Medicago truncatula: one gene and its partners. The protein of the gene in region 1 interacts with the protein of each later gene in a pairwise test. Links are inferred from orthologs where the notes say so. Each region holds a gene or a part of one and is shown in the gene's direction. Other genes may lie near its edges. The genes, in order: dual specificity protein phosphatase 1, replication factor C subunit 2, transcription repressor OFP13 and mitogen-activated protein kinase 3.

Region 1 (7,326 bases):
CTAGAAGAGTACAATTTCAGTTGCAGTTTGCATCTCACACATGCTTTCTTTTTTCTATATAGCTTTTGATTTTTGTATGGTAAGGGAAATTAATAATGGAGTGTAGGTGTTGAGAAGTTTTGACCAGAAGGGAAGGTTTTGATTCTTACATTATCGTTCAACTTTAACCTCTCCCTCTATTTATTTATTTGGTAGGAATTTTCATCTAACTAAGATTTTCCGCGTTCACGCATTTGGGATATTGTAAAGGATTGATTAACATTGGATTGTTTAAAAATATGTAGATTTTAATTTTTCTTTTATAGTTTAAAATGTGTGAATGTAAAAAATCTCAAATAGCAAGGAATCAAAATTCACTTGGGGTTGGACGAGATGCATACACACTTTAATGATCATCGTTATTCCAAACATTTAACTTCAGACATTACAATAGAAAGCAAGTGAAAATAAAGGCAGCATGCAATTGAATTTGAAGGACACAGTACATGAACATCTATTCAAGATGCCTCAGTTTCTTTTTCCTTTGTATATCCAGGCATTTTGTTTTTGGATGTTCTTGCTTTGTAAAAGATACTAGAATATTTTGGAGTCGGTGTGTTGAAATTGTAGGAAGTTTTTAGTATTTAACTTTGATTGATACGGTGGTAGTACCTTACCCTTCTTCTTGGTTTTACAACTTTTCTCTTTCGCAAAAGTATTCAGTTACCACTTCTCGCTTTCCTATTTAGCAATCCATGTAAAGTTAAGAAATACAAGTTGTTTAATCTAATTTGAATACAAAACATTGCAGTGCAAACTTCCAAATATTGCAGCAATTGAATACTCAGAGATACAAGTTAAGCTTGCTCATTCATGTTTTAATAATCTTGAGGAATAAAATATTTCAACACCTCAGCAGTTGCAAACTGAATTGATGAAAGCCTATACAGAAAACCCAATTTTGACATAAAGTGCAGACAAAAAAGACTTATCACCTATGATTTACTTCTACATTGGTTCAAAAGCTAATGTCTGTAAACATCTCCAAGCTTTGAAGATTCTGATTTTGTACTAACATAAACTGTACCTTGTATGACAATATTAGGGAACCATTTTTTTTTAGGTTAAATCTTTTTTTGATCCCTATAATTTATAAATATACTAAATTTTTATTTTAGTCACCTAAAATTTTTGTTCAAGATTTTAGTCCTTATAAAATTTCAATCATCACTTTTGGTCTTTATTTTTAAATCGGCTCATGTATTTTTTAATGAAATTGTGTAAAAAGGGTTAAATACGTTTTTAGTCCTTACATTTTGCGTCCCTTTGAAGAATAGTCCATACATTTCATTAAACCTTTTTAAAATCCTCACATTTTATCTCCGTTATCAAAATTAGTCATTGTTGTTAATTCTTTAACGGAATGCTGATGTGACAGTTAGTAGATCCCAATTAGTTTAAGATTAAATATGTTTTTGGTCCCTACATTTTGCGTGACTTTGAAGAATAGTCCTTACATTTTAATAAATGCTTTTAAAGTCATGCAAAATTTAAGGGCTAAAAACATATTTAACCCTTGTAAAAATCTCTCTTTTAACAAAACATGAGTTAAATATGAGTTTTTAACCGCAAAAAATATAAAAATTCATATTTAATTTATGTTTTGTTAAAAAATTCAAATTGTTTTTTGGAGAGATTCTATAATATTATAAATTTTTATGTAAAATTTTCTTCAAAAATATGAATTCTAGATATATGAGTTTACTTAAAATGAGAGACTAAAAGTGAAGATGCAAAATTTTGCGATGACTAAAAGTCGAAGAAATTTTTTAGAGGGATTAAAATGAGAAGTTGATATATTTATAGGGATTAAAAACATATTTAACCTTTTTTTTATTAGTGAAAAGAAGATAAAGAACACCCAACACCTAAAATCTTTACTTTTTTTTCTTTCTTTACATTTTTTTTTTAGGAAATTCTTTATACCACTTATATATCACAGTTCACACACTCATTATGATAAACCGACGCACTCATCAAAGTCATTTAGCGTGACAAGTTTTAAAATAAATGTGAAAAGCATAAAGAAGGAGCAAGAATGTTGAACACCATAGCTTTATATTTTTATATAGATATATATGATGATATGATTAAATTAAAGTTGTGATAATTTTCAAACACAAATCATTAGAGGAACCTTCACCCTCAAGATACACTACAAAGAGGTTTTCTTGTGACCAAACCAGATCTACAATTCAAATGATCCTCTCTTAAATATCATTCACAGACAAAAACAAAACAAAATAATCACATGTACAATATAGATGAGCAGGAGTAACATTCAACAGCAGAAAAACCACATAAAAATATAATTTTCTATTGATTAAAACACAAAGGTGTTGGGTTTAGGTATATTAATGCAGCTGATGAAGAAAAGAGTGAAAGAAGAGATAGCGAGAGGTGCAAAAATTTGTAGAGATCTACACTCATTAATTATTTTTTTAGCATCTGACGATATGGTAGTATTAAATTAGTCAATAGTTTATTAAATTACTCAATATAGCTGTTTTTTTTAAACATCAGTATAGTTGTTTATTCAAGTATCTTCACCCTTCTAGGATAGTGAAGAAGAAAAAAATTGGTGACGATTAAGGTTTGGAAAAGAGAGAAGCAAGGTCAAAGGTAATGGGGTGGCCAAGGGAGGTCGTCCCCCCCCCCCCCCCCCAATTTTTTTCTTAAAAATTTTATACTACTAATTTTATGCTATTTCACTAGTATTGTGAACGTGGTCCCCCGTCATTAGCTCTTTTGTTGGAGTCCTCGATTATTTGAACATTGAGCATTTGTCATTTATGAAAAAAAAGAACCCTTTAAGTATGTCAATTATAAAAGCGACAATAGAATAAAATAAGATATTTTTTCTTCTCACTTCCATTTTTTCTCCCTGCCATTTGAAAATACCAAAATACTCGTAGCGGTACATTGGAGAGGTGAACGATAGTTAAGTGTCACTCGACCCACAACAATTGCGAAAATAGAAAATTGGGGAATTGAGAAGAGTAACTTTCATAAACTAAATCAAATAAGTAAATATAATTTTTCTCTCTTCTCCTAATATTAACTTTAAATGTAGATTTATTAAAAAAAAAACATAAAATGTAGATTAAAATTCTTATATATGTAGTGCATTTGAGATTTTTTGTTTTGTTTAACTAAATATCTTTTAGTGCTCGTTTGGTTACCCGTTTTGTGGGTACAAACGTGAGTCTGAAGCACTCAAAAGCAGTTTTTCTATTTTTGTGGTGTTTGGGTAACTGCAAAAGTGATTCAACCCCCAAACTCACGTTTACCAGAAGCTAAAAGTTGGAGCTTTTCAAAAGCAATTTAGGAATTCAACTTTTGGTGGCTGATGTACTTTCCTAAATTACCCATGATATTCTTTTTCATTTTTCGACAAAGTTTTATAAAACACAGCAAAAGTGATGAATTTTTTGTTGCTCAAATTCTTTCTCGACCCTGTTTCTGCCTTCATGTTACCCAGCAAACTTCAACATTCTCTCTCTTTCTTTGAGAAAAGATGGAATTGGGTTTGTATTTATTTATTTTATTTTAATTTTCACAAAATGAAATTGGGTTTCATAGGCCTATTAGTTAATTTCTCCTCTTATGCAAGCCCATTACATTTTTTACAGATTCTTTTTTAAGAAAAAACCATTTGACAAAATTTGTTATTTTTTGTACAAAGAGAAAATTTGTTAATTAATATGTGTAAAAATATTTATATAGTATACCTAATTCAAATTAAAGTATCAAATTAACATGCATTTTATTTTAGAAGTTTTTCTAATCTACAAATAATTAAATTGATAATGCAACATAAATTTGAATAATTATATAAAATAGAAACAAAATATAATTTTAAATAGATATTTATACTCATTTTGGTAATTATGCATTCAAATAACAAGAATTCTAAGAATCAATTCACATTCAAGTCACTTTTTTTCAAAAATCAATTTTATCAAACTCAATTCTATCAAAATCAATTATTTCCACCGCTGAACCAAACGCACACTTAAACATGTCCCCCCTTAACCGTTGTTAAATTTCTAGCTCGACCTGTGGAGGAAGAGATGACCAATTATTTTTCACTCAATTACTTTTATATATGTACATATCTTTTTCTTATTCAAGTTAATTTTGTATTTCATAAAAGACAAATTATTCAAATGAAGCTCGTTTCGATTTATGTGTGGAACAATTTTGGCTAGATTAAAAAATGAAACGCAAGAATTAAAATTAAAAATAGAAATTTCAAAAGGATAAAAAATTCTATATAAAAAAAAGAGACTAAAATTGGCATTTTAATGGGCTAAATAAATGTTCTCTACTTCTCATATGCAAGCAAGGAGAAAAAAAAAAAAAAAGTGGAGTTTCTCTATGCAAAATCGTAAACGCTTTATTGGTGAGTTCTTCTCCTTTTCGTACTATCAGTTCAAGTGTTTATATTCGCCAGAATTTGATTATATTCATCACAATCGATTATTTATATATCTTTAACAGTTAACACTGATACGATTATTGAATTTGTATGAATTAGGAAATGGCTTCAACATCAGAAGCTATGAATGAATTCGACGAATCGATGAAGAAACAAATTGCATTAATTTTGAAGGTTGTGCTTTTGAATAAATCCTTGAAAGAGGATAATATTCCTTGTGAAATTGACCAGGTAGTTTACTTAATCAAGCTTCATTTTGTTATTATCTTCACTATTCTTCTGAATTTTGTAACTAATGATGAATGATATTTGGTTAGGGTTTGTTTTTGGGTTCAGTTGGTTCTGCTACGAACAAGGTTGGTTTAAAAAATGTGAATGTTACTCACATTTTGACTGTGGCTGGGAAACTTGCACCTGCACATCCTGCCGATTTCGTCTATAAAGTTATAGATGGTATGTTTCTTTTATTATTACTTATTGCACTCACACGGTCACCATACATGACACTGACACATTGACACTAGTAAAAATTTGAGAAAATGAATTAACTGAACGTAATCACATATCCAATGTGGTGTCGGTGACACGCCTTTAATCAGGGATGTCGGTGTTACATAGATGATCTGGAACTGATTTTGACAATGATGCGGTTTTATTCTTTTTGATTTTGGTCTTTCGGAGCTGTTGGTTTTGTGGCTATCAAAGTAATGCAAGTGAATTCACTATATAATGGACTAAACAAATGGATAGGGTGTGTTTGGAAATACATATCTTCATCAATAATGTTACAATATTAGTCAAAATATAAGGTTGAGGTTACCTATTTTTATTAGTAAGATGATTTGGATGTTAACTTTTGTTACCTTATTGAGGTTCTCAGTTTCCATGTTTATGGATTATTTGAGTTGTATTGCATTTAATGTAAGGTTTATTTAAAGAAATAATGTTAAAATAGGGCAAAAGGAAGGAAGTGGTGGTAGGGTGGGTTTTACAGAACACCGATTAGGACAGGGTCGGGTACCTAATTTTTATTTTGGTGACAATGGAGTGGGTTTTGGGAGGCGGGTTCAGGTGGAGAGCAAAACCTTGACTCCATGACCATTGCGTGCTTTGATCTATAAAAGTTTAGCATTTTCTTTGCAATTATGAAAAAGCGTGCTTTGATCTTTGAAAGTTTAGCATGTGTTGAGATTGTTCCATTACTCGACATTTTCAATAGGAGAGAAATTGATGTAATATTTTTTTTAGTTATTCATCTCTCTCTCTCTCTCTCCCTCCTACTAGATGTGTCGAGTACTAGAGAGAGGATCTCAATCTGTTTAGCATGCAGTTGCTGTCAAAAAATTTCCTTCTATCTTAGAAATTGTATTTTGTTATAATAGATGTTATCATCTCAGAATGTCAGTTCCTTTTTAACCGACTCGTGTAATATTGCGATCAATTAAATGAGACTGCACAACATTTCAGGTCCATGTTGCTTGTCATTAAGGTTGATTATGATTATATTGATTACACTCTAATTTTGTCTTAAGTTTTTTAGGCATCTAGTACACAATATCCATACTAAAGTTACACTTTTGTTGGAAAATTGAGAAGTTGCTGACAAAGAGGATACCAACTTAAAACAACACTTCGAAGAGTGTTTTGATTTTATTGATGAAGCTAAAAGTAATGGTGGAAGTGTTTTGGTTCATTGTTATGCTGGAAGATCGAGGAGGTAAGTTTCGCTGTTTATATCTTTCTCTCTTGCTTACATAGGATCATTTCTTGTTCATTGTACAGACTATTATTTTACTTTAGACAAGTGTCAATAAGTTGAAATCTGTTTTATGTCTCAATCATCTCAGGCATTTTTGTTTTGTTTTGGTTTAAATTTCTGGAATGTTGTTTCTCAAGCAAAAACTGGGAGCAGCACATTGCATATTTGAATTTCAATGTTTCTTAAAATCCTTACATTTTTATTTTGTTATCATTGTCTTTTATTATTCAATAGCAGATATTATGTTTTGCTTATAAAGTTGGGAAAATGTCATGGAAGCTTATAGCTTTTTAATTATGTCTTTAGTTCAATGATACTATCTCTTGAAATCCATTGTAATAATGTTCTGAGTATGGCCATATATATGTGATGCCATGTGGAATTTGAGGATATGATTGTTGAGCTAAATGTCAAATTGTTTCATATATGGAAAATGACAAACCTTGTTGATGCTTTGAAAATTACAGATATGATTTTTTTTTTGTTTTCCCTGTCATTATTGTTTTCTTTTCCAGAAATCTGCTTTCATGTCGATCTTTTCCGTTTGAACTTTGACATATTAAACATTTGAACTGACAATTGAAGTGTGCATGCTTCTCAATGAAATAGACTAAAAATGCTTTATAGTATGAATTGAGATGCCATCGATTTTTTTAATATGTAGAATGGAAAGTTAGGGATGTAAGCTTGAGATTCATGAATGATGATTATGTCCTTGTTTACTATTGGCCTGTCACTTATATTCTGCACAAAGTTCATGCAGCATTTTACTACCTCCTTTTTTAATGGTCATATTGGAACTAAGAATCTTGGTATTCATATTGTTCATTTGGCTATTTTCTTTTTCATTAGATTAACTGGAAAAACTTGGTTCTAATTTATTTCCACCTTCTAGTGTGACTATCATTGTGGCATATCTGATGAAGTCTCGGGGAATGAGCTTATCTGAAGCTCTGCAACATGTAAAATGCAAAAGACCACAAGCAACTCCAAATCGTGGTTTCATTCGTCAGCTGGAAGACTTTGAGAAATCTCTTCAAGGTTAAAACTGTATTAATCTTAAATATAATTAAACATCAACATGCCA
Region 2 (7,457 bases), on another chromosome or scaffold:
TTTTCAACGTGCTATACTGATACAATAGACTGCATTAATTTTCATCCTTTGCGATGCGGCCTTGAAAACTAAAAACTCTCCACTCACCATATATGTTGGCTTTCCCATACGTGTACACCGGATTTCCCATCCATTTTGTTTCCTATATATACATGTATATCATCCTGCTGCTCATATCATCCTGGTTGTTGGTTTCATCGTAAGAAACGTTTCTTCTCTATTTGCTCCTCTAACTTGATTGCTGTCATAGCCAATTTCCCCTATTACGACTTGCAAGAGGTCGATATGATTGTTTTAGCTTTATTGTGTTTCATATTAAGCAGTTATTTGTGTAACTAACGGTTTACGTTGTTAATTTGTTAGGTCCACTGGTTCCAAACCTTGTTTCCGATCTCGACAGAGTTGTTAACAAGCTTAGAATGAAGTAAAGGTCGTATGGTGTGGAGTAAGACGTGGAAAATGTGTGTATTCTTTTTTTGACAGTAAAAACGGTTTTCAGTATTATATAGTTTTTTTTTCTGATCTTATTTCCATTTTGGTTTTGCCAAACATGTTTGGTGCTGATTTTGGAGATCAGATAACCCGGTTTGCAACCTTGATAGATCCAAGAAACAATCACTTTGAACTTTTGGTCTAGAGGATTAATGGATGGTGACAACCAGGGTACCCATGGAAAAATGGTGGATAATTTACCCCAACCAATAAACATTCACCTTTTTAGGTGGTATCCATAAACTATCTTGACTCCACCAATAAATTACTCATTATGATTGCTTGGTGGGTAAATTACCATTATTTTTCAAAGATAATTTAGAAAAAAACCTTAATAGATACCTTTTTTTTCTTTCAAAAGGATGGAAGGAACTACATGATTTTTATGGGATTCAGTTGGGTGCATGGATGACGCTCGTGTTTGTGGGATTAGGACAATTTGATATTATTGTGAAATACAGGTTTGGAAAGGAGATAAAGGTTCCACCTTTTGATCCTCCAATGAAGTTCGTGATTGACAAGGCTTTTGTGCAACCTACTTTTGATAACACTCTACCTCCCTTTACTGCTAACTTATCCTATCGACATGACAACAACAATTTTCGTTTTGATTTTCCTAATGCTCTGACAGAGTGCGACGTGACCAAAGGCTACCTGGTAATGTTGATTTACCCATTCATACGTGTTTTTGCCAAGATTGTTTTAATCCATGTCATGTAGTATTTGCTAAAATTTGAATTTTGTTGTAGATGCTGTTGTATGAAGGATTTGTTGAGCACACTTTGGACAAGGCCTCTACATCACTTAAGCTGGTTGATGACTGTGGAAACATGTGGGAGTGCATATTAATCCTTGGTTCAGCTCCGTATGAGCACAATAGGATCGATGGTGAATGGAAACGCTTTGTGGACGCGCGTAATCTCTGTGATGGTGTGAAGATCAGACTTGGTGCACCTACAACTGGGAAGAACGATACCCTTTACATCGCTGTCAGTTGGAGTTAGGGTTTGGTTGCAATAATGAAGGTATAATTTGGTTCGTTAGTGGATATTTTTTTGTTATCGGGGAGTAAGCTTTTTTTGGGTTTGGTCTTAAGTTTTCATTTGATGGAGTTCTGTAGTTTTTTAAATTTTTGTGTTTTTTTCTTTTCCTTGCAATTTCTATTTTGTAATTTTGAATTCTGACGACTATTCAGTTTGAGGTCATGTTGCTTAATTAATATAATTGCAATTTATTTCTATGCCAATTTTTTTTTTATGCCAATCTATTGTAAAATTGGAGGTTAAGCCAAAATATAATTGCCCCTTACCAACGTCACCGGTGATACTGCACCTTAATTAATTTTTTCCTCATTCAAATAATATGCAAGTGCATAAACAATCAAAGGGGTTAGTTGCACGAAATTTTAGTGTGTTGTTGATTTAACTTGAAGATGTATATGCTTAAATATATAAAGAATAAAAAACTACACTTTATCTGGATACAATTTATCATGTGATGTTTTCAAAGTTTTTGATGTTAGATCATTGCTCTTTGCATTGGAAACAAACTGCATCAGAAACCTTGATTCTATTGTTTGTGATTATGACCAGAAGCAATGAATTCAACATTAAGTGTGTTCTATGTTTAATAAAAAAAATTAATATTAACAGGAGTATATAAATCTCATAATAATTACTCCCTCTGTTCCAAATTGTATGTCACTTTAGAAAAAATATTTGTCTCAAATTGTATGTCACTTTAGAATACCAATGAAACATTAATGTTACTTTTCCTATTACTTTTTCTTTATTCAATTCTTTCATTTATCTTTTCCATATCATTTATTAAGGATAATTTTGTAAAACAACTCATAATATCTCTTTTTCACACAATATTAATTACATTTCTTAATATGTGTGAAATGGCAAAAACATCATACAATTTGGACGAAGGGAGTAATATAGTAGGGATGGAAAGGTTAGTCACCATGTTTCAAATTCACGAAGCCATTATACTTTCAAAGTGCTAATTCATAACATAATTTAAAATTTAGGAAATGTTGGAAATATTGTGTTTAAAATTGTTAAAATTTATTGTCTATAATATAGTGTATATCTGCCGACACTGGTGCCTTTTTATGGACAACTCTACGCTGTTTCAAAAGTTACTTCTAGACCGAAGATTTCGATCACGGACGAAGATGGTGAACAAACTAACATGACATCTAACGTTGTTTATGAAAAAGAATAGTCAATTTCCCCCCTGAAATTGTAAGTTTCATCAATTACCCCCTGAAAAATTTATATTATTTTTTTCTTAAAAACAAACAATTAATAGTTAAATATTAAAACTAACTATTAATTTTGAAATTTGGGAAAACTACATGCATATATACATCAAAATAGACTCCAAAATGGGGAAAAATATGTATTTTTTAAAGTGACAATAATGGAATGATTTGTGGATTAATATTGGGGGTTGTGTAGTTTAAATGGTTTGAGCAAATTGTTGAAGGAGTTAAAAGACTAAGATGGTGAAGGAGAAAATATAAATTTAAATCTGATTATTAATTTGTTTATAAACCTCTAAAAATAATAATTTGTCTATTAGAAATAACCATTATTGTCACTTTAAAAATACACATTTTTCCCTATTTTGATGTATATATGTATGTAGTTTTTCCAAACTCCAAAATTAATAGTTAGCTTTAATATTTAACTATTAATTGTTTGTTTTTAAGAAAAAAATAATATAAATTTTTAAGTTTGGGGGGCATTTTGCACATAAGTGCAAAACTTCAGGGGGGTATTTACAAAACGTCATGTTCACTAACAGAAAAATTTGACGGAGGGGGTAAATTAACTAAAATTGTGAAATTTCAGGGGGTAATTGAAGTTTTGTTAATTTCAAGGAGTAATTGATGAAACTTACAATTTCAGGGGGGAAATTGACTATTTACTCGAAAAAGTTTTTTGTAATTTGTAATTTAAAAAGGTTTACTATATGTCGTTACCAAACTTTAGCTATATTTGTTGTTCTATTTTTATTTATCTTATATTGCTTAATTGACCATTAGTTATTTATGAAATTCAGACTTTTTTTTTTTTTTTGGTAGATGAAATTCAGACTTTTATTATTATGTTGTAGTGCTCATTTTGTGAACACATTTGATCTTTAAAATTTGAAATATTATTTTATTATTTGAAGATATGTTTAAGCTAAACAGACATGTGCGGTGCACGGGTTATCTATCTAGTTTTCCTTATTATTAACATAAAAAAAAATAAACAAACTCGTCTCCAGTGGTATGAAACGCTGCGTTGCAGGGCAAAGAGAGCGGGAAAATGGTGGTGCCCTATACAAATACGGATTAGGATTTACTGCAGTTGACTCTTTCACGCAGTCGCAGCTGCAGTCAGAAAATAATAAACCGTTAGATTAATCAACCGTATATCATTTCGCCACGTGTATTACCAAGACAACAAAACATCTTCTCTCGGAAGAAACGAACCGTCCACCACATCCCTTCCGCCGGCGCTGCTTCACCAAGACCACCCCACCGCTTTCAACTCTGAATATTCTTTGTGAAATTAAATTGTGCGTTGTGTTTCGATTGAAAGAAAATTGTACTCAATGGGATTTGGGGTTCCAAATTCAAGACCAAGGTTTCAGTGGGATAAGTTTGCCATTTAAAGCTTATCAATCCAATTTCCGACGAGTTAAAGTAACTGTCGTAGTCTATAAGAATGTTTGTGCCTTAAATTGTATCAGATCTATTTCAAACTTGTTTCCATAAAATTGTATCTTTGTTCTTGTTCAAGAGGAACATGATGCGCTTTTCGTTTGTTTAAGAGAGATAAGGTATAAAATGTTTTGTGAATTTATCAAAGAGAGGAATATTGTAACATGTTGTATTTGAACCATTAGATGAATCACACGGCTCACATTTGCCTGACTGTGTAAATTCAGGATTTCTTTGACCGCAGAGAATCTGTATCACACAACACAAATACCCCCCACCACCGGCTGCAACTAGTACTAGTATAGTAGCAGAGAATCGTGTGTGAAGAGAAAATTACTAATATGGCGCCAATCATTCAGAGCACTCAACCATGGGTCGAGAAATAGTAACCACTTTACATCTTCATTTCAATTTCAATTCCAATTTTCTGTTTCTCTAATTTATGTTCTTCGCATATCTAATCTAATTTCTCCCCAATATGTTTCAGCCGTCCAAAGCAAGTGAAAGACGTAGCTCACCAAGAAGAAGTGGTTCGAGTACTCACCAACACTCTCGAAACTGGAAGCGTAAGTAATTTAATTCACCATTTCTAAACCCTAAACCCTCTTTTCTTCTTAACCTATTCGCTTCAATTTTCTCTCACAGTGCCCACACATGCTCTTCTATGGTCCTCCCGGCACTGGAAAAACCACTACTGCCCTCGCTATCGCTCATCAGCTTTTCGGACCTGAACTCTATAAATCTAGGGTTTTGGAACTTAATGCTAGTGATGATCGTGGTATTAATGTTGTTCGGACTAAGATCAAAGATTTCGCTGCTGTCGCTGTGGGTACCAATAAGCCTAAGAAGTATGTGAAAGTGGAATACAATATATTTTTGAGCTTTTGTTTTTTCTCCATTTTATTATAGGATTTTTGTAACTTATGTTTTGGGTTTCTGATATTTCAGTGGTTATCCGTGTCCACCGTATAAGATCATTGTTCTCGACGAGGCTGATTCAATGACAGAAGATGCTCAGGTATGTTTTCACTGTTTTTCATTCCAACCTTTGCTTGTTCAATTAATAAAGTGAAATGATTTCATACCACCTGCAATTTGGTTACAGAATGCACTGAGGCGAACGATGGAAACTTATTCTAAAGTTACTAGGTTCTTTTTTATATGCAACTACATTAGCAGGTACATAGTTTTCTATGAAACCATTTACTGATTTTTTATTTCCTTTGGCATTTTCAATTTCACATCTTTAAGGACTCAATGGCATTTTCTATGAAACCATAATCACCTTGATGTACATGGTTTTGGCCCAATGCTTTGATATGTTTAAGATCAAATTTTAATTGATATACATCTTTATCATTGTTTAAATAAATTAAGTTTTTATTCTAGTTTTTTTTCTTTCTTCAAGTAGCCTAGTGGCTAGAATTCACCTTTTTAAAGGTGAATAAGTGGGGTGTCCGGGGTTCAAACCCCAGCCCCGGCATATAACAATGCATGTCCCTGCCAATTGAGCTATGCTCACGAGGACAGTTTTTATTCTAGTTTGATTATTACATACTTTGTTTTTCTCATATCAGCAAGAAAATTAAAATGTATGCACAAATATGAAATATCATGATCAATACAAAGGAAAATTATAAAGCTAAAGCAATACATTGTATAGTTTTTTTTCCTACTGTTCTTGTCTGTGCTTTTGACGATAGGGGACACACGTGTTTTATACAAGATTGTTGTTTTTTGTAGGATTATAGAACCACTTGCTTCAAGGTGTGCAAAATTCAGGTTCAAGCCACTGACAGAAGAAATCATGAGCAGCCGAATAGTATACATCTGCAAAGAAGAAGGAATCTACCTTGATGCTGAGGTAGGAGCCTTAGAGCTTATATGGCCACTGTGCAATTTTTTAATGGTTTTGATCCTGTCTGTAGAGGTATTGTTGACATCATAGCGGCTTATGTTATAGTATCTTTGCATCTGCAGGGTCTTTCAACTTTAAGTAATATTTCTCAAGGAGATCTCCGTCGGGCTATAACATACTTGCAGGTGAGCACATTTCCTTATCAACAAAGTATATCTTCAGACATGTAACTTATGTTACTTCCTATTAAAAAAGTGTGTTACTTCTATTTTAATGATATTATTACACGGTGTTTATTTTCCTTCTATTCTATTTTTTTTTTTGTTTGTATAAATGAGCCATTTCACTTTGAATAATGTACGTCTGCATGTCTTAAATGGCTATGCTTATTCTGCTCGACTCTGCCAAACTAACTACCAACTAGGCAACTAGGAATTTTGTTGATAATGCTACATATTAGGAAATAGAAAAACTATTATTTATTGCAAAGAGAAATGATATTTGTACAACTATTTTCTAACAACTTTTTGACAACTTTCTCTCTCAGACTCACATTATCTTCTTATTCCCTCTCTTCCTTTTTCTCTCTCTCTCTCTCTCTCTATTATTTTTGACCAATCAAAAGAGAGAAAACCAAAGTTGTCATGAAAGTTGTACCAAAGAGTTGTACATATATCACTACTCTATTGCAAAACTACTAAAAAATATTTTTCCGGTGTTGACAATTGTTTAATTGTAGCCAGTATGCTCTCATTCTTTTTTTGTTTTCGTATCCTGGTTCAATAATTAAAGCCAATGGAAAGTTGATGCAGTGGAGAGTTCACATATGTTATAAATGGGAGAGTTCAATTGCAGGAATGCAAGCTTTCAAATTTTGAGCTTTCTGCTTTCTTGAAAATAAGTTCAATTGAAAGATGGTGAATTGGAGAGTTCATATTGGGTTAATAAGAGGGTTGCCTATGCTTAAAATGGGACTTGGTTCACACGCAGCCGATATGGGACTCTTACTGTTTCTGCCTTAATAATCATCTTTTTCTGTTACACTTGGTAGAATAGATTTGTAATACGGGCACTTATTTGCAACCTGCTCCTTCCTTTCGAAAATATTATAAAAGAAATATCCAATTGATTCCATGTAGATTTGGCTTTTACCTTGCATTAATAACTAATTTGTTTGCATAAGTGAACTCTCTTATGCACTATAGTTGAAAAAATATTGCCACTATAGAATCAAATCAAGGCAGTCTTAGTGATAATAAAGGGATTGTTTATATATTTTTTATTTGACTTACCTTCACGAAGTTTGTACTGATTAATTTATTCTTGAACAATAATAATGACCAAGCTTTTGAGCATTGCATCTATGTATCGAATTTGTATTTA
Region 3 (5,735 bases), on another chromosome or scaffold:
AAAAACCTTATACTCGTTAGGAAGTTAATTAAACAATTCTGAAACAGAGAGGTTGGGGAATAACCATAGTTGAAAATTGAAATTGGCATGTGCATCCATGCATGGAGCATGACCAATAGCCAATAAGTGTAGTTGGAGACATAACAGTTCACTTCCAACTATATTTTTCTCTTAGAACCCAAGATTCGGAAGACATAATGATACAAAGATTCCACACAAGGATATCACTTCTACGGTTCTACTACTAATTTAAAAAGAGATTTCAAACACATTGGAGAAATTAAATTATTCATATTCATCTCATTTCTACTATACTATTCATATTCATTATTGGAATCATGATAAAAATAAACTTATTCGATTTTGCATTGAATAAAATTAATCGTCATCTAGTTTGGAGCTGGCACTACTCACTAGTATAGGAAACATCCAAATATCCAATACCGTAGGCAAATTCCAATCACAAAAAAAACTATATGCTTAAATATATTTAAATTCTTAGGATAGGATAATCATTGTTTTTTTTTTTTTTTTTACTTGAGGGGAGGATAATTATTGTTTTTAGATCCTCGTATAATTTTCGTCAAATTCTGGCTATCTGTTTTTTGTAGGGGTAATTTTGGCATCTATTATGAAAATGATAATATTTAATTGGTTGGACTTTGTATTCTTTCTGTTAGTTTTTTATTTGAGAGAATCAATTGTGATTATTTTGAAAAAGGGATCTGATTAAAACCATTTTTTCGCCCAAAAATTATTTATTAAAAAATTATATATTTTAATATAAAATACATAAGTTTCAAGACAAACTTATCCCTTTGAACTTCGTAACCTGTGTAAATTTATACATAATAGAAAAACATTTTCATCAATAATTTTCTCATATGATTATTTTATTTGAGAGATTCGGGATTCAAATTTCGTCAAAATAATTATTTATCAGATTTTATTTATCTTTCTGCTGAACTAACAAAATATATGTAAGACTTAAAAAAAAAAAAAAAACAATATTTTTCTCATAAGAATGGGACAACAAAACAGTGCAAGTGGGAAATTAAATATCCATATAGATTCACGAGGATCTATAGTAAAACCAGACTTGTGAAAACAAGGGCCTAAAATTAAATGACAGTTATTCAATATAAAATTCACGTGGAGTTTTCTCCTTAAGTAGAAGGCATCCATTGGATGTAATCACTACCAAAGTACTTATTGATTCATCAACATTAGTGTAATATAGTTATCATTCCTTTTATGTATCATGAGGTTACAATTATTCTTTGTCATGTTTACTATTAAAAGCTTAATGGCTTTAATTTGATAAGAAATAATGTTGGGGACCTCTACTCAAACCTCATTTTCAAGTTTGCTAAGTGTTACTTTTATCTACAACTAAGCCATTATTTTAGGACCCATGATCACATGGATCAGTGTACAAGCATTTGTTTAGTCACAGAAAAAACAGGTGCATTATTATTTCTAAGTTTTCTCTATAGGATAAGGTGTGAAGCTTTGGATAAGAGATCCCAACTCCCTAGCTAATAGTAACTAATAAGCTTGATATGGAGTCAACTTTAATGGTTTATAGATACCATCGGATTGATCAAAAGGTGGTTGCTACAATGCCAGCAAATTATAATTAAACAATTTGTCTTCAAGGATATTCAATATACAAAACAAAATTGATCTTCGAATATAAAATGTTACGGTGACAATAATTTAATTCTAAGTGTTCATAATTTTACTTATTTAAAATCAATTTTAATTCTCTCTCTCTCTAAACTTCTTAAAAATAATAATTAATTCTCTAAAAATAGAATCAAACATACATTGACAATTTAGTGTTTAGAATTGGATTCTTGTGACCTTAACTCAATTGGTAAGGATAATGTATAATATATACAAGGGTCGGAGTTCGAACCTCGGTCACCACAAAAAAAAAAAAAAAAAGATGCATGGGCGGTGGAATTTATCTCTTCAAATCTAACGGTTCCTACAAAATAAATCTGCTTAATTGTAAAGTAGTTCTAAATATTCTGAACACAATTGTCAAACAATTTATTTGCATATTTTTAATAGTAAATATTAGTATGTTTTCTTCATCTAATTTGGACTTGAATCCCGACCTCCAATTTATTAACCTGTACCTCAAACCACAACCCAAATTTGTGTGCATTTTGCACATAAAATTAGAACTACTAAACCTTTTTATTTTATTTTTAGGAAACCAATTTTTGTCATTTGTAGCAAATCATCGAAACTAACTACCTCAAGCAACTCAAGAAATTGAAATTCATCAACTTAATTTAAAGTCAACTCGATTCATTCCAACAAAAGTAAGCACAAGGGCCTTATCGAGAGGATTGGTCAACTTTGGGAAATGGATATATTGATGATCATAAATTGAGAAACAATGCATACGTATAATTTATTTATTACTAGTAATTTATAAAGCACTATGCTGCAACAAAGTGGGGGAATTTCTATTTTATTAGTGGCCAACAAACATTCATGTACATCGATCACAGAATGTAATGCATTATGCATGTACATAAAAGAATGGATATGCAACTGTGTATTACTACTTACTAATTCTTTTTAGCCATTCACAAACAAGTCAACTAGCACGATCAAGTACTAACTCTATACAACATTTTCAATTGTAATCTTGATTTTCTTACCCCATTTTCTCCTCTCTATTTTGCTACATCAAATCTATTATTTTTTCTTCTTATATCACTTTCTTTCCTTTATTGTATATCTCATATTGCGTGAGACGGTTTTTACATTATCACAACTAATCATACACGTGATTTTTAGAAGTAATTAATATTAAAGTTAAATGTGATTAATGATTTAACGGGTTAATTAACCGTAAAAAAAAAATCTTTACATATAAATTATTGGGTGAAAAGCAGAAATATCATATGGTATCTCTCCCTCTATCCAAATGACGGGTTATTTATTGAATGTGACAGGGATATATAGTATATGAGGTAAAAACAATAAAAAGAAGTTCCTAATAAATACAGAGCCTAGTTTTTTTAGATCTCAAAACCATCCTTTTCTAATAAATAGATACAGTATGCGTGATGCAACCGTTCCCTCTTTAAAAACATCACAAGAATTCACCTTCTTTTCTTCGGTTCATATAAGCTACTACTAGCAAAATTTTCTTAGTCTCTCTATTCCAACCACAAATATTTCACTTATAATATGCCATAAATGTCTTTTTCACCTAATTTCACTAATTTTATACCTTACTGACTTCACTTTGTTTTCTAAATTTTTGCCTCTCTCAACCCTACTAAAAGGTTATGGGAAAATTTCCTACTTTTGCCATAAATGTGTAATGGTTTTATTTTAATGCCAATGAAGGACACATTTGTTTCCTGGTCTACTGTTAGTAATTTCTTTTATGTTCTTTAAAAAAGAAAAAGAAATATGCCCTCACGAGGTCAAACACATATGACAATAATAAATGCATTTTACCGGTTATGTTTTGTTTTCTTCATGCTAACCTAGTTGATTCAAATTGATCTAGTAGGTAATCAAGTATTGCACTCAAATCGTTAATAAGCTCTCTCAAAAATGAATTGAATTCATTATTTACCATTCAACCGAACTCTAGATTACCAAAATCTCTTTTCTTTATGAATCATAGGGTTAATACTAAAAAAGTGATCTAATTGATAAGGTTTCAGTTGAGAACTCACAAACCACAAAAACTTAGATCCAGATCTATTTACTGATCTAAGGTCGTCGTGAACGAATAATATGTAAGTATCTACGTCAACACTATATGAACCCTGAGGTTCGGAGCCAAATTGACATACCTTTTTCTTTTTATAAAAAGATACTCGATATTTTTTTTACAATCATATTATACATATGAAATATTTAACACCATTTATCGTTATTCAATCTTCGTCGTTAAATATATTTGACTGATGGATTATCCTTTTTAACCAATTTTTCTCCATACACAAATATGAAAAGATCAAATCCCGACCACTTGTTTGAGATTACTTAAATCTCTTACCTTGATGGTAATTATATATTTTTTAAAAATAAATTAAAAATATCTAACATTTTTTTTAGGAAGATATGAGACTGACACTTCTGAAAAGAGTGCTGTTACATTCAGTTGTTGATGCGTGCATTGAATAACATTGAATTTTACTAACCTACAAATTAAATTCACACATGAAAGCACCTACCAGACCCCATTTCCTTGTCATATTCTTTTGCTTCATATCACAATCCTGTGCTTTAAATAACTCATTTCTCATCAAATTTATTACAAACACGAATACTCTCCTAACACAACAACAACTCATAGAACCCACCCTCTCTTCACAAACAATATGGGAAAGAAAAATTTGAAACTACCTTCTCTTTTCAAAACCAAAGAAATTTCACAAAGAAAACAACATCCATGGCAATTCTTACCCTCTTGTGGCCATCCAAAAACTCTTTCTTTTCGAGTTGGTGCTGCTTCTACTTCTGCTGCTGATGATCACATATTCAAAACGGTTAATTCTGTGTTTTTTGACCAAACAGACAACATTAATATAGAAACACCAAAATCATGGTTCACAACATCATCTGAATCTGCAAGTTTCTCAACAGAATCAGAAGATTACTATTGCTACAACGACGGCGAATCATTGGAGACATTGGTACGAGGAGTTAAGTCGGAGAGATTGTTTTTCGAAGCAGAAGACACGAGTTCGATCTTAGAAAAGGCGAAGGCTAATGGTTTTCCATTCAAAGAAAGTGTTGTGTTAGCTATGGAGTCAGAGGATCCATATGAAGATTTTAAGAGATCAATGGAAGAGATTGTTGAGTCTCATGGTGTGAAAGATTGGGATGGTTTGGAAGAGCTTTTGAGTTGGTATTTGAAAGTTAATGGTAAAAATAATCATGGGTTTATTGTTGGTGCTTTTGTTGATTTGTTGATTAGTTTAGCAGCTTCTAATAATTCTAATAACTCTTGTTCTAATTTAACTTTATATTCTTCTGCTGTTTCTTCTTTTGCCTCTTCTTCACCTTTGTATCTATGTGAGGGACAGAGTGAGATTACTGAGATTGAAGATAATAATAATAATAATAATGTAACAGCTTCTTAGTATTAATTAGATGTAGCTAGTTTTAACCTTTTTTGTTGTTGTACATTTTGTAGATTGAAAGAAAATTTAATGAAAATTAAGTTATAGTGATTTTGTTTTGTGGTTTGTTGTTAATTAAGTTATGATGCAGGACAACTTGAATCATAACTTAACAAGATGAGTTTTAGTCTACTTTAATCATGTTTAGGGAGAAAATAATAACAAAGATATCTAAGTGACCGAAGAATTTAAAAACTATTTATTTAAAATGGTTCTAAATTCAACACTAAAACGATATAAATGAATTAAATACATCTCCGTAAGTTTGACTCAGTTGATAAAAATATTTCATATTATATGTTGAAGTAGGGGTTGGAATCTTGGACACTCCATTTCTTCACATTTAAAATCTGCATTTGATGAAAAACTATCTACAAGATTGTTCTTGAAGGTTGCACTCTCATCTTGTCTTTGGCTTCCACCGATTCCTTATAATCTTTACGACAGCCTTGATGTACTTTTTGGAAGGAAATGAAGCGGTACACCAAACATGCATATTCCCAAACCTCACTGGTCTAAATTATATTTTATTTTGACAAAATTAAAAATATGCATGTTAATTTT
Region 4 (7,807 bases), about 26 Mb from region 1:
GTCCTTGCTAATTGAGGACTAGGTGTTAGCGAGTAGTAAGTGTTGCATTTTAGAGATATTGACTTTGAAATCAACCACATTAGACAACTAATTTAGGGTGACGAAATACTCTTAAATCTAGAGTTTTTTCACGTCCGAGTCAAAATCAATAAGTTTGTTTAGTCTTTATTTTAATTTATCTAGAATTTTTCGGCGAAAGAGACAATTGTTTATTTCTTTTTAAATAATCCAAATGCTGCCATAAAACCCATAACCAACGAACAAATGATCAATATTTTCAGCTTGACCTCACCCACTCGAGCAAAGATTAGAATTGTGGGGAATAATACCACGATAAATCAAGCTATCCTTTGTTGGAATGAGATTGAGAAGCATCCTTCACACTACTATATCCCACACATAATCATAATAATCAAGCAAACCATATTGCAAAATACTGGAAGAAAGTAAATGGTTGGCCACTTGGCAGAGTACCCTTTGCCTGGATCTAGGCTCCAATCTCACTTGTCACCCACACCATCCTTGAAAAAAAAAATGTTAGACAACAACATACTGCACACACTCATCTACTCCTCCTCCCAAGTCAAAAGCCTACGCCACCATTTCCACCCATCTTCCCCGTCCCCCATCTCTGCCAGTGAAACAAAATGATTCTTCAATAATGAATATAGCCACCTAAACCTATCACTCATCACCCCTCCATCCAATCACTAGACTGACCAAAAGAAAGTCTTGGTCCCGTGACCCACAACCCACACCAAATTCTCGTCAAACCAACTCCCCACACCCAAACCTACACCTCTACGTATGGTCATGATATCGTGCCATCAATGTGAACCCATACGACCACCCTTTTTCACCCTCACCATCCTCTACCCCATACTTCGCTACCAACACCTTAAACCTTATACTCGATTGTTCCGCCTGCATTCTCCAACACCACTTTTATAACCATGGTAAATTAATTTGACTAATCCCCCTAACCCCAACCCTCCTTTCTCTTTATCCGAACAAATATTATCCCAGTTGATCCATGGTGATTTCCTAGACACCCCCCCACCAAAAAAAAAAAAAAAAAATCAAAATATAGATTTAATAGAGGAAATTATATATACATATGATGAAGTCTTCAAGAAGGAAAGAAAATAGATTAGGAGTGATGACAAGACATATTTAAGAAGAAACAAACGATTATCCAATAGCAAATTAGTTTAGTTAATGCAATTTAAATGGGTGATTGATTCAGTTCATTATGTGGTTAATGAGTTATTATATAGTTTAGTTTAGTTTTTTTTATAACCACAAATAAGTCCATGATTACCGACATTCAAATATTTGGTTCATTCAATTTATTACTGTTTAATGAATTACAATTATCAACTAAACATATTTAAAATGCTTTAAGCATGATCCAAGAACACTTAGATGAGAAGACAATATCTCTATGTTGGTATGAACAATGCATAATGTATGCAAGGTTTACTTTCTATCTGCATTTCATAAGGCTCGAGGGAGCGCACGGAAAATACTTTTTTTTTTTGAGAGGACGCACGGAAAATACATGTTTTATGCAAAAAAAAAAAAAGTCTTAATCATGAAATGAAAAAATGAACCACGTTGTGTTTTAAAAAAAAAAAAAAATCAATTTTCAAATAAATAAATATAATTGAACTACATCAAGATATTTGTTAATCACATAATGAACTGAATTAACTATGTTATTAAACCGTGTAACCATATAATAAATAAACAAACAATGTTAAGTGTCAAAAATCACCGTTAAAAAGTGATACCATTAACCAAGTACTATACATAATTAATCATTTATTTGTGCCAAAAATAGTTCAACTAACATTTCTGTTTTGAAATATTCAAGGTTCATCTAGTTTGAAAAAAAAAAAAAAAAAAAAAGAGTCAAAAATATTGTTTGAGAAAGTCAATAATGTTTAATAGTTTTCGAGGTAGTTATAGTATCAAGTCATCGATAGAAATAGAATGAGAAAAGAAACCCCCATTACCACTTACCATTGTCATGATATATTTATTATTATTATTCATTCTATTATCTGTAGAGAAGGGGCGCCCCGTGCTTCGTAGGTGAAGTTATTCTATTGCTGTTATTATTTGACTTTGTTATTCCATGTGGCTTGTGCATTTGTTCCTCACGTGCACATTATTGAAATGGAAAACACCAGATATTTTGTTTGCAAATATGAGACTAGGTCGTGTCTGAAATTTAATTTCTGTACCAAATGTTGACTCCTGAATAATAGGAATACATACACCTGCTATGAAGTTTACTCAATTATGAGACATGTTTAGGTCATTTTTAAGTTAATGTTCTATAAATTGAATCAAAACTAGCCGTCTAATTGGTTGAATTGTGGATCGATATTATTTATGATTAAGTTATTTGAGCGGTTTAATTGTGCTTTCTTATGTTTGAGCAAGTTAATAAAGTAGCTAAACTATGATATAGATATCTTGTCGATTGAGCGTCTGATTTGATTTTGGTTCTTAGGAGAAGGAGATTATGATAATTTAAAGCAAGTAAAATCTAATTAAAAGTTGTCCGAACCAAGATTTAATGTTTTCTCAAATGATTTGTCATATTCTAAATTGATTAATCACTTTGAGTTCAATCCATAGGAAATCCAATGGTTATGTAGTAACCCTAATCTTAATTATAAAGAATGACTCCCACAAAAAAAAACTTCATTTTTTGTAGTCAAGCTTCACCATAATTTTAAAATAATGAGTATGGTGTCAAATTGTGGTTACTATGCAAGTAAAGCTTGCAAAAGTTTTAAATTTTATATAGAAATATCATGCATAAAACAATTGAAAGATGACAAGATTTGAAATGTTTAACTATTCAATGAAACTTATCAAGGATATGTATATGAAGGAGAGAACTATTCATGAAGCATAAAATACAAACAAATAACTCGTTGAATTTGAAATGATCAGAAATGTGAATGACTTTGACGAAAGATTCTTGGACAAAAATTTGAGTGCACATTGATAAAAAAGAAATTTAAATGACTAAACAAAGGGTATAAAGACAATAGCTTGAAACGGAAGACGAGGAACGAGAAAGAAAGCAACAAATAATAAAACAAGAACAACAACATGAATGATTGAAAAGAAATTTCAATAAAGCGTAGAATTACAAGAATCCACACATCAGATTTGTGTCATGTTAACAAGAAAATATTAACGACTGTTGTTTAACCATATAAAGTAATAATTTTTATATTGAAAATTATGTAATTATGACTTTTACATGTGTTTGACTTGTATTTTTAAGATAAAATTATTTCTCGTTGTGGGTTCGTTAAATATTACTCTTAGCACACTTGTTAGCAAGACAAAAAAAATTACATATCAAGAAACACGTTCATACACATTTATTATAAAAAAATATTTTGGTTTTAGTTTTGGTTTTGGATTGAGAAAAGATAGGTGGACACCCCGTCCATCCAACCTACAAAGTATTATTACTTAACAAGTTTTTTTATATAGGTATTAGTACAACTTTATGCTACAAATTTGGCAGAGAATCAAGCCAGTAAATAAGTAGAGGATCAATAGGGTAATACATATTCTCACGCATATTGTTGGTTTTTGGAGCAATGTAGTGATAGAGAAGGATTATAGTCGAGAATATAAGAATGAAATCATTTTGTAATATGAGAACATTTTTATTTTTCCTTGCTTAGATTATCAAGAAAACCTAATCCACGGTGCCTTCAAACATTATGACGATCAAGTAAGTTAAAGGGCATGAGTGTGAGGTTTTAGGTTTTAGAAAATGTGTATTTGAATCTAGATTGACAACTTGGATGACAGTTGAGGGATGGTGTACCTGTAAACATTACGACAATCAAGTAAGTCAAATGTCATGAATGTAATGTTTTAGTGTTTAAAAAATGTGTACTTAAACATGTTTCATAAGTCAGGTTTTATAGGAAAAAGATAAAGGATTTTTTTTGGATAAAAACCCTAATTGAACAACTTTAGACATATCATTGTGTGATATTCATCATATTGTCCTACAAGGATTCCGAAATCTGGTTTTTGCGTATCTTTAAGCCTGTCCAAAACATAGTCTAAGATGAGTTAACATTGTTAGAGTGACCAATTACTACAAAGCAATATTCCTAACCATTTGCATAAAACGTTCCAAATGTTAATGTCATTTGTAAAAACATTAATTTAAACTAAACTCCAATTAAATATACATGTGTGTTTATTCCACATGAAAAACAACTCCTTATCTTAATCCTATATAATACATAAAAAACAGCTGTCAGATACAAATTGCCTATATATGTGCCAGAAAACAGTTGATCAATTATTTGAGTCATTAATCATTCTTAACTAAAATTGTAGTGATACTAATATATACGTATATGATCTCTTTTTAATGACGGAAAGAGGGGCCTAATTAGTCCATTTTAGGAGAGATTTTAATTTTATATCAAGGTGTAGGTATCAGTCAATTTTTGTATATAATATTTAAATCCCTCTGACTTATTTTATTTCTAATGATATTATATTTTAGTCATTCATTAAGATAGTAGTTGAAATAATTGAACAAGCTAAGACCGTAGATTAGAGGCGGCTACAATCACAACCGTCCGATCAAAAATACAAACGCGTCGTTCTTGTAACGCGCGTGTGTTAATCTCCTTCGCGCGTTTTCGCACCTTCTTCGTAGCATCTTCTCCGAAAATAGATTCTATAAAATTCAACGTGCTTCACAAGCCGAGTCAATAACTCACTATAAACATTATTTAAATTGAAATTCACCGCCTTCTTCTTCAACACACTACCATCGCCGACGCTTTCTAGAGAGAGAAAAAAATTCTTGAGAGTGAAGAAAATCAAATCAAATCAAATCAATGGCCGGAGTTAACCAAAACGGCGTCGCTGAGTTTCCGGCGGTTCAGACTCACGGCGGACAGTTCGTTCAGTACAACGTGTTCGGTAATCTTTTCGAGGTTACGGCTAAGTATCGTCCTCCGATCATGCCTATTGGTCGTGGTGCTTACGGAATCGTTTGGTATTGCTTCGTATAATCTACTTCTTTTTTGAATCGGTTTTGTTTATGATGGATTTGATTTAACGGTTTTGGAAAGTGAGAAATGAATCTGATTTGTTTTTGTTGATGTGATTTTTGAAGTTCGTTGTTGAATACGGAGACGAATGAGTTGGTTGCTGTGAAGAAGATAGCGAATGCTTTTGATAATCATATGGATGCGAAGCGTACGCTCCGTGAGATTAAGCTTCTTAGGCATTTAGATCATGAAAATGTGAGTAGTTATCTTTAAATTCTTAATTACTAAACTTTATTTGATTAATTAGATAGTTTCATTGAATTGACTTATTCCGGTTTATTCACTGCATAAACATTTTGAGAGTGTTCAGAAGAACTTATCAAAACGGCTTATGACATGTTTATAAACTATCTTTAGCTTATTTATTTTTGTAAGCTATTAACTTCTAAAAATACCAAAAAGCAGTGTAACTTTATTTTATATTTAATTATAAATAGCTAAAATAATCATTTATACATATGATAAACACTTATGTTATAAGCTGCAAATTAAGTTGTTAATCTATATGCTTTGTATGGTATAAATTTTCTAATCTGTGTGAAAAAGGACAATTAATAGTCAATTAAGGTAAAACTATTTGAAATTCTATATGGCTTTTTTTAGCATTGCTGCTACTTTCTGCGAAAGGTTCTTAAGTACCTATCACTATCATTGTTGTTGATAATATCGCGTTGACATTTCAAGTCATACATGAAGGATTGAGGAATACAAGTATTGTACGTAATGATCATGGAAAATTTGGTTCCTATTTTAGGAGTCGTACATTAAATGATTTTTTTTTTTGAAGTAAAAGTGTCGTACATTAAATGTTGAAAAATATGTGTGGTGAGTAGCTACACGTTTGTTGAGATTTAATGGAAACAAGCCATCTCTCTTGACAATGGTGGACCATGATGATTGAGAAAAAACCAAGTCAATAATGGAAAAAGATAATGCCCAAAAGAATAATTATGAAGAGTGTGACACCAATTATTTGTGTAAGGCTGAATTAAGTTCAATATCTAATAATAACTTATTGCTTTTGAAAAATATATGACACAAATTTAGTTAACAGGACTAATAAATCTTAGATAGGCTCTGATATCATCTTAAATTTTGGGTTGGTCCTAACTCAACTCTTACAAAACCGGCCTTTAAAATGGGTATTGCCTTCATTTATAATCACATTTTTTGGTCTTTTCTCACTCAATGCGGGACTCTTAACGGTTATATTTTTTTCCTTTCGAATAATACATAATTGGTTCATGCCTAATTGATTACTTTCATACATTTTAAAGTTTACACTGTAGTTTAAGTCTTAAAGTATCAAATGTGCAAATCTCAATTTGATAAATGTATATTTAGTAATGGTTAAAATGTTTGTTTTTTAAAACAGGTAATTGGTTTAAGAGATGTTATTCCACCACCCTTGCGTAGAGAGTTTAATGATGTTTACATAACCACCGAACTCATGGATACTGATCTTCACCAAATCATTCGCTCTAATCAAAACCTGTCAGATGAACACTGCCAGGTCAGTGTTTTGAATTTGTTGTTTTTAGTATCAAAATCATTGCCTTAACTTTTTTGCGCTGGAATTAATTGAACTACTCGTTTTGCTGATGATTGTATGCCTTGTACTTGCAGTACTTTTTGTATCAGATTCTTCGTGGGCTAAGGTATATACATTCTGCAAACATAATCCATAGAGATTTGAAACCAAGCAACCTGCTGTTAAATGCAAATTGCGACTTGAAGATTATTGATTTTGGTCTTGCGCGACCAACTATGGAAAGTGACTTCATGACAGAATATGTTGTCACGAGATGGTATAGGGCTCCTGAATTGTTGTTGAACTCCTCAGATTACACCTCTGCAATAGATGTCTGGTCTGTTGGTTGCATTTTTATGGAGCTTATGAATAAAAAGCCTCTGTTTCCTGGCAAAGATCATGTGCATCAAATGCGCTTATTGACAGAGGTAAGACTATAGGAATCAGCATAACTAATCATTTTCTTAAAAAATTTGCATTATCTTAAACGACACTTATAATGTGGCGGATGGAGTAAAACATTACACTAAATGTTTTCTCTAGTTGCTACTTACTCATATAAGTTGATATTCATATAAATATTTCATTATTAATGCCTTGAATACAATCAATAGTTTAATCATAAAAGTAGTAATATATCATATATGCTTAATTGCTTACACTTGTTGTTTTTCTACAGCTTCTTGGCACTCCAACTGACGCTGATGTGGGGTTAGTAAAAAATGACGATGCGAGAAGATATATCCGACAACTTCCTCAGTATCCTCGTCAACCTTTGAATAGGGTTTTCCCCCATGTTCATCCCTTAGCCATTGATCTTGTCGATAAAATGTTGACAATTGATCCTACCAGAAGAATTACAGGTAATTTTCTCATCCTTGCATTCATTTATGTCTCTATAGCTAGATAAAGCAGTAATGGGTTCATTTTGAATATAATGTTGAATTACATTGAATAAATTTTCATATCTGCTTGTTTAAATATTGGCAGTTGAAGAAGCACTGGCTCATCCATACCTTGAAAAACTGCATGACGTAGCTGATGAACCTATCTGCATGGAGCCATTCTCATTTGAGTTTGAGCAACAACATTTGGATGAAGAACAAATAAAGGAGATGATCTACAGGGAAGCATTAGCACTCAATCCTGAGTA

Evidence for each region.
Region 2: the proteins of dual specificity protein phosphatase 1 (region 1) and replication factor C subunit 2 interact in binary tests that used the Arabidopsis thaliana proteins (3 or more experiments, as listed by UniProt). The link is inferred for Medicago truncatula from reciprocal best matches to the Arabidopsis thaliana genes DSPTP1 and EMB1968.
Region 3: the proteins of dual specificity protein phosphatase 1 (region 1) and transcription repressor OFP13 interact in binary tests that used the Arabidopsis thaliana proteins (3 or more experiments, as listed by UniProt). The link is inferred for Medicago truncatula from reciprocal best matches to the Arabidopsis thaliana genes DSPTP1 and OFP13.
Region 4: the proteins of dual specificity protein phosphatase 1 (region 1) and mitogen-activated protein kinase 3 interact in binary tests that used the Arabidopsis thaliana proteins (3 or more experiments, as listed by UniProt). The link is inferred for Medicago truncatula from reciprocal best matches to the Arabidopsis thaliana genes DSPTP1 and MPK3.

Annotation. Positions count from the first base shown.
Region 1 is NC_053045.1:56,691,337-56,698,662, forward strand, and holds the start of dual specificity protein phosphatase 1, read left to right. Parts: upstream 1-4,317; 5' UTR 4,318-4,444; intron 4,445-4,579; 5' UTR 4,580-4,582; coding exon 4,583-4,711; intron 4,712-4,797; coding exon 4,798-4,933; intron 4,934-6,076; coding exon 6,077-6,197; intron 6,198-7,134; coding exon 7,135-7,280; intron 7,281-7,326. UniProt on the Arabidopsis thaliana protein: Has a dual specificity toward Ser/Thr and Tyr-containing proteins. Dephosphorylates MPK4 in vitro.
Region 2 is NC_053044.1:43,607,556-43,615,012, reverse strand, and holds the start of replication factor C subunit 2, read left to right. Parts: upstream 1-4,441; 5' UTR 4,442-4,557; coding exon 4,558-4,601; intron 4,602-4,703; coding exon 4,704-4,782; intron 4,783-4,861; coding exon 4,862-5,064; intron 5,065-5,164; coding exon 5,165-5,234; intron 5,235-5,321; coding exon 5,322-5,395; intron 5,396-5,959; coding exon 5,960-6,080; intron 6,081-6,196; coding exon 6,197-6,259; intron 6,260-7,457. Other genes in the region: uncharacterized protein, read left to right, coding at 901-1,149, 1,242-1,496. UniProt on the Arabidopsis thaliana protein: May be involved in DNA replication and thus regulate cell proliferation.
Region 3 is NC_053042.1:54,140,940-54,146,674, reverse strand, and holds transcription repressor OFP13, read left to right. Parts: upstream 1-4,201; 5' UTR 4,202-4,367; coding exon 4,368-5,132; 3' UTR 5,133-5,218; downstream 5,219-5,735. UniProt on the Arabidopsis thaliana protein: Transcriptional repressor that regulates multiple aspects of plant growth and development through the regulation of BEL1-LIKE (BLH) and KNOX TALE (KNAT) homeodomain transcription factors.
Region 4 is NC_053045.1:30,780,315-30,788,121, reverse strand, and holds the start of mitogen-activated protein kinase 3, read left to right. Parts: upstream 1-4,780; 5' UTR 4,781-4,907; coding exon 4,908-5,068; intron 5,069-5,188; coding exon 5,189-5,318; intron 5,319-6,498; coding exon 6,499-6,636; intron 6,637-6,749; coding exon 6,750-7,082; intron 7,083-7,333; coding exon 7,334-7,517; intron 7,518-7,644; coding exon 7,645-7,807. UniProt on the Arabidopsis thaliana protein: Involved in oxidative stress-mediated signaling cascade (such as ozone). Involved in the innate immune MAP kinase signaling cascade (MEKK1, MKK4/MKK5 and MPK3/MPK6) downstream of bacterial flagellin receptor FLS2.